2 linked regions of the Daphnia pulex genome follow. The protein of the gene in region 2 interacts with the protein of the main gene of each other region in a biochemical or structural test. Links are inferred from orthologs where the notes say so. Each region holds a gene or a part of one and is shown on either strand. Other genes may lie near its edges. The genes, in order: mutS protein homolog 5-like and mutS protein homolog 4-like.

What was found.
Region 1: the proteins of mutS protein homolog 4-like (region 2) and mutS protein homolog 5-like form a complex in vitro, tested with the Homo sapiens proteins (2 studies listed by BioGRID). The link is inferred for Daphnia pulex from reciprocal best matches to the Homo sapiens genes MSH4 and MSH5.

Annotation. Positions count from the first base shown.
Region 1 is NC_060019.1:5,055,215-5,058,340, forward strand, and holds the end of mutS protein homolog 5-like, read right to left. Parts: coding exon 3,103-3,126; intron 3,029-3,102; coding exon 2,817-3,028; intron 2,759-2,816; coding exon 2,713-2,758; intron 2,651-2,712; coding exon 2,512-2,650; intron 2,451-2,511; coding exon 2,222-2,450; intron 2,135-2,221; coding exon 1,982-2,134; intron 1,907-1,981; coding exon 1,544-1,906; intron 1,480-1,543; coding exon 1,291-1,479; 3' UTR 784-1,290; downstream 1-783. Other genes in the region: GTPase HRas, read left to right, coding at 1-75, 162-322, 477-551.
Region 2 is NC_060021.1:11,182,484-11,186,312, reverse strand, and holds part of mutS protein homolog 4-like, read right to left. Parts: intron 3,406-3,829; coding exon 3,185-3,405; intron 2,505-3,184; coding exon 2,310-2,504; intron 939-2,309; coding exon 752-938; intron 521-751; coding exon 357-520; intron 1-356. UniProt on the Homo sapiens protein: Involved in meiotic recombination. Required for reciprocal recombination and proper segregation of homologous chromosomes at meiosis.

The sequences.
Region 1 (3,126 bases), on a different chromosome or scaffold from region 2:
AGTCATTTGAAGACATCAGTGCATACAGGGAACAAATCAAGAGAGTGAAAGATGCTGAAGAAGTTCCCATGGTTTGTAAGTACACATTTTTTTTTATTTTAACAGAATTACCTGTGGGCACAATTTATTTTTTATTTTTTTGTTTTTTTAATTGTCAATAGTGGTTGGCAACAAGTGTGACTTACCCACTCGTGCTGTTGATATGGCCTCAGCAAGGGAAGCTGCAAAAAATTATGGAATACCTTTTGTTGAGACATCTGCCAAGACTCGCATGGGTGTAGATGATGCATTCTACACTTTAGTAAGAGAGATACGCAAAGATGTAAGTTTTTACTTTCTACTATTATTAAATAGTATTATTATTTGTGAATAATGTTTAAAACATGTTCATTTGATTAAAAACAAGTGAAGTATGTATGGAATAATAATTGTTGTGGTGTTTTTTTTTTATTTTTTGTTTTTTTTTTTGTTTTTAGAAGGAACGCCGAGGCCGAGACAAACAGAAAAAGCCAGGCGGCAAGCTCCGTCCTTTGAAATGTCATATTCTGTAATCGTCGGTGTGATTAGGAAAGTACCATGGTTCAAAAACTTATTTACACGCAACTTCTAGTTGTGTTTTCTGATTGTCGAGCTATACGCCATATTCTATGGCCGAATGCAATTGGATTGGATGTTTGAAAATATTCTACAAGTAAAATTTTCTACTCGTAGCTAAGCAGATGGTACTGAACAGGCCTTTTGATTGAATGGCTTGGGAGGGGATGTATTTTTTTGTTCACAAGGGTAATGGTAATTAGACCGCGAATATAAGATGTATTTGTCAATTCTTTCAGCGTAGTATGTGCGTAAGTGTGGCTTGTGTCGTTTTACCTGTTTGTAATATTTTGGTACGTTCACAAGTTTTATCAATCACGGTTTCTTAATGATGTAGCAATTCTTACTGCCCTATTTGCCGTGGACTGCAATTGAAAGCATATCACGGACTTGAATTTGGACGTTTTCAGAAAACTTCATTTTCGAACATTATTTTTAAATGGTCTTGCGATAGACATGTAATAGCGAATACACATTCATGATCGTCAAGCTGAGATTTGAAAGTGGTGTGTATCGTTTCTGGCTTAGTAGTTAATATTAAATAATTCTTGCAGCATTAATGGAATTTTTAGTTCATTTTGAGGATGAAATTTGTTCTTGTTCTTGGTAACATATAGTTTACAGTTTACACATGTATCACTTCAAAAATGAAAATTGGTAACGCAATCACTTATAGATTTTATGACAAAATAATTGTTAGTTATTCGGAACGGAACTCCAACATCCAAGAATATTTCGTCTTGTAAACTGCTTTAAATCGTCAACATTCCAAGGATCAGTTGCGAAGAAAGACTCTGAAATTCTGCGTAAAGTTGAGCATTTTGCATCATTCCATATTAGGTTATTGGGTGTCATATTACCAACACTGTCAACTGCTTTCAGCATCTAGAAATATTCACGAAAAAACATAAAAATGGTCATATTTTCTTGTTAAAAAAACATAACTAACCTCTTGAGCTCGCTTTATGACAAAATTAGGCAATCCGGAAGCATACGCGACACTTAAAGGAAAACTATTTGTGCACATATCTTCAATAAGCTGATACAGGAAAACGAGTTGCTCTTCATCAAGAAAATAACCCATGGACAAGAACCGAGTATTTTGGAGAACCCATGTATGCCGGGACAAATACTCCACGGCATTGTGTAAGTGCGTAGCGACAAGCAGAAGAGGGCTTTTATCATTTTGTTTCATCCAGTGTTCCATGCACGAAATGAACATTGCAGAACCATCTACATGAGAAGATCCGATTCCAAATTCGTCTAATATGACAAGAGAATGACTCGTCGCCATTCTTGATGCCATTGACATCTGTAAAAATATATTTTTTTTAAATGTGCGATTAAAAAACATTATATAAAAAAATTAATTTGTTAGTCTACCTACCATTGAGAGTTCGACACCAAAATGCGATAAAGATGTCACTACAGTTTCAGGAGAATGGCTAACAACAAAGATATGTTTCAGCGGTGTTATTAGTGCACGTTGAGCTGGCACAAAACATCCAATTTGGGCCAAATAAACAATCAGGGCAGTTTGCTAATACAAAATTATTTTATTTAAAAAAATAATGAATAAATAAAACAAAAATAAGAATTAAACTAGTGAATTTAAATTTCAAACTACCTTCAAAAATATTGATTTGCCACTTGAATTAGGGCCTGAAATAATATTGATACGTTTGGCTCCTTCGTCACATCCTCCAAGGTATGTTGAATTAGGATTGAAGCGTTCGGCTACGAGTTGTAGCAAAATATGTCGTCCATTCTCAATATGAACACAAGGATTAACATTTTCAACTAGTTCTGGCTGAACCATTTCGAATTCGGAGCTCAGAACTGATAAGCTAAGAAGCCTGAATAAATGCAGTATACAATTAATATAACAGATTTGCATGAATTTGTATACAACAATACGCGTCTAGGTATGCCGCCAATTCGATTCCTTCAGTCAGTGCACCGTAATGTTCAACAACAACTTTGGAGCCTGACAGCATCACGGACATTTCATGCGCAACAATTGTCGCAGCAAAATCTCCAAACGTTTCGTCGAGTTCTATTAATTGTTGATTAAAAGTAACCATTATACAAATAGGCGCACCATATAGAATACCTCACCATAACAACGTCGGCTTTTGAAATAAACGTTCTCCTTTGTAAAGAACTAAATAAAACAGTTACTTTAAAGAAACCTCTCAATTCAAATAAGCAACACATCTTACTTTCAGTTCAAGTCCTGGTATGTTAACATCATTTTCAGCCGTCGTCAAATTTCTATTTGGATCTTTTTGGAGCCACGAACGAAGGCACAAACAATGTCCTACATGTGGGAAAAATTCAATAACGCCTTGTTCAATAAAAGGCGGTAGGTTTTCCATTTCGAGATTAACGGTTTCAGTGTAAATGCGTTGCATATTGCTGTGTTCCCGTTTCACTAATTAAATTGGGGAAAAATATAACAATTATTCAACTTATGAGATTACTTGATTGTTATTTAAAAAAGGTTACGCCGATCAAGGTCTTCATCCACTC
Region 2 (3,829 bases):
GTTATCTGCGGGCCGAAAAAACCTTCAAACCGAGTTATTAATCATGCCGTCGGTCCAATGGCCCATTCCCACCGTGTGGTAGACGTAAAATGACAAACAGGGGCATAAGGTTCGAAACGAACGAGGTGCTGCCGGAGAAACGCGAATAACCGGCGGCAGTTATATTCCGTCCGAGAGTCGTCAAAACTTTTTAGCGCTTCACTACGCCCAACAACGACGACCGAAAAGTCCCCGCTTTTCTGCAGCAGCAGCTCCCATCAACACATTTTGTTTTGCCATTTTTCTCTTTCATCCGACTAGGTGCTGGGCGGCATTTGTTTGAGAGCAAATAATAGAAAAATCAAGTGAAAACTTACGCAGACAAAGACGGGCGGCAGTTGCGGAGGTGGCGGAGGTTGGTAGTTGGTTTCTCCCTTCTTCCTCGGCTGGCCCAGCGTCTGTTGCAAGTGATAGCCGCGCTGTGCCGTGTTGGCCAAAGTCAGCGGCATTTGGTACTTTTGTGACAGCTCCTCCACGTACTCTGCAAACGGCAAAAGGATGAAAACAAAAGTTGCTCACGTACTGTACACGCGACAAGAGAGAAATGGTGGCAGTCTAGCAGCTCTTCCGGATTGTAATCGACTCCCGGCTTTTACCGAGAATTGAAAATTTATATGGTATTCACTTTCAAGTTCGCGTGAACTATATGAATCATTTGACACACCGTTTGATTATTCAGTGTGTGTGAGCGTTGGATGAAACTTGAACTTGCCTTCCATCTCTGTTTCGAGATCGCTGTGAGTCCGCCGACAAACGTCCAACATGAGATCGACGCCAGTTTTGACGCTGCGGAATCGCTGGCGTTGCATGCCTATTTTGCCTTTGACAGGTTTCACTCGCTCGTCCAACACGTTTTGAATGCACGACAGCAGCGCCTCATCATCAATGCTGGACAGCTCCTTATTATTGCAGAAAAAGAAAGGAGAAAAATAAATCAAAGCACGAAAGATCTCCGCACTTGCAGACAACCAACAAGTCAAACAACGACAAAAGGACCAACTCGAAAATGGAAGCCTTTGGAAAATGAAATCCCCCGGAATTTCATTTGGTGAAATCCGCATTGTCCGGACAGTCGACTAGATAATGCAATGTCCTACAACATACAAAGTTCCATCATCACGGAGAAGGGCTGGGTGACGGGACTGCACATAGAACTCTAGTAGACGGGGGAGGGTGAAAGCTCCTTAGAATCAACTTGGACATGTCTCTCTCCATTCAGTTCTGACTTGATGCTCTTATCTTTCTCCTTTCAATGTAATATGGCCCGAGTGAAATTGCGAAGGAGGAATACGCGCGCACAAGGCACAAGGATTTCATGATTTCATCTGTTGTGCAGGACGCCTGTCGACTACTCGGATCAATAATGGAATTTCAAGCATTTGACGAACAAACGCTTGGCAATAGGAAATAATAATACGACCCGATGGACTGAAAAGGAATTGCTTCCGGCGGAGAACAAAAAAGGAAAAAGGAATTTCAACTTTCGGTGATTTTTCATGGCTATAGCGATTTTGGAAAAAGTGAATATTTCCCCATCGTAAAAACTAGGGGGGGGGGGGGAATGATGAACTTTTACTTTCGAATTCCACATAGAGAATAAGAAATGGCCCGGAGATTGTGACACTAATGAGAACATGGGGCAGATGTGGACGCCAAAAAAAAATGAACGAAAGAGAAAAAAGGTTACGGGGTCCGTCCTTTATGAGCGAGAGAGAAAAAGTTTCTTCCTAACCAGACTCTCTTCCAAATTTGAAAAGTGATTTGCCGTGTTATTGTCAGACTACTCTTAAGGTCGAGTAGTGGCGGAGTCGTCTCTTGGCAACCGACGTTCCACCTTTGACTTCTTTTTTTATTTTGCGCTTGGCGAGTCTTTTACGCCTAACCAGCCACACCCACACGCCCTGCAGACAGTAAAGTTTCGGAACAGGTACACACACACACACCCCACATATATAGGATGAAATCAATCAACGGGACAACTAGCCCGTGTCGAGCTCCCGAGGGCCTACAACTCTCTTTCGCTCCGTCACACCGTCATCCAGAGGGAAACGAGAATCTCTTTTCTTCTTACCCATCTACTCCCTGTACCTATAAACTTTTATATTGGATTCTCCGGTGATGGAAGTGTGATAGAATTGATCCTCTTCACGGACCAACGGCCACTACAACAAGGACAATATTTTATCCAAAAATATTCCGGTTCTTTTTTTAAAATTGAAAAACAAACTTTGTTCGGGGGGGCTACGGAAATAAATGGGAGCGGTTGTTACTTTGGCCAAGGCGACAATCAATGGGCTGTTGGCTTTAGCCAGGGCGGATCCAAGTGGTGACACTAGAGAGAGGATGTGCTTGAGGGCCACGACGGCGTTGATCCTTTGCTCGACGAACGACGGACTAGGATTCTTGGGCATGACGACGCACTGGTTGACGGCTCGTTCAACATCGACGAAACGGGACAGAATCTCCTACAACAACAAAACCAAAAAGAAAAATTATAATAACCAAATCTCACGTAGCCTTTTCGGGTCCGAATCAATGAGAAAAATAATTGAATCCGAGAGAATAATAATAATAGAGAAAAAGGCAAGAAGAAAAGGAAAAGATAATAACCAGAAGGTAAGAGATAAAGAGAAAGAAAGAAAGAAAAAAAGGGAAACAATTAATTGGAATCTCATCAGCTTAGCGCGTGACAAAGGAGCTTAGACCTCCTCACATATATATCTTGTAATTCTTAATATATATTATATAACATGGGGCAGGAAAAGGAAAGTTTCCATTTCGGGTCTGGAAGAGCCAATGAAGAAAAGAGAGAAGCCAATCCCGGGACTATGGAACCAATCTATTTCTCGTCGTTCATCCCGCGCCCGCCTTTCGCTCAATTCCCCGTTCTGTCGGTTAGGCCGCCGGCCGCGGCGGCTGTAACAGTCGGGGAATCTGTCTGGTGGCTGGTAATAATTCGATTTGTTTTGGGTGAGAATAGAGACAAGAGGAATCGAGGATGGCCGGCCCCAGGAATCCAATCGGTAAGCTGACGCACGCAATGCTTTACGCCCACCATCCCCCCCTGCTACCCGGTCCTGTTAATCTTTTCTCTTTTATTTGTTTGTTTTTAATGGTTGATAAGTTGGTGACTATGTTTTCGTACCTTGATGGGTTGATGGAGGTCGGTAGGACGTGACGCAAGCTCCTCGACGGCATCCAGACGTAGACGGATGGCCTCCACATCCGTCATGGGTTCCAGTAAATTCGAGCGGAGTAGCCGCTTACCAGCCGCCGTTTGGCACGAATTCAACGCCGAAAGTAGAGACGGCCCGCCCGTTGGATTCAAACTGTTCACCACTTCCAGACGGTTGGCCGTTTCCGAATCTAAAACGAGAACACACAAGCGGAGGTGACACACACAGACCAATATACAAAAGATAAACAACCACATCAAAAGAGTTGTGAAAACTAAAAACAAAAAAAAAAGCCAAAAGCAGAAAACACATAAACAAAGAAATGCCATTTTGCTCAGTCACGCGACACGAAATATGTGTATAGTAAATACAAGACAATGTTGTTCAGCCCGGTTGGAATAAACAAGTAGTTGACGGGGACTGGAAGCCGAGGCTCTCATGATGAAAAGTTTCCATTGTTTCATTAGACCACCGCATTTTGTTTTACTCCTCTTTCTTTCGCCCGAGCTGGATCGTGTTGTTGTCAAGTGAACCAACTTTGTGTGCGCTGTTCAGATTTGTTTTTTTGCTTCCCTTTTTTGATAGTTGGCTATTGTGATCCTAGCGACCGCAAC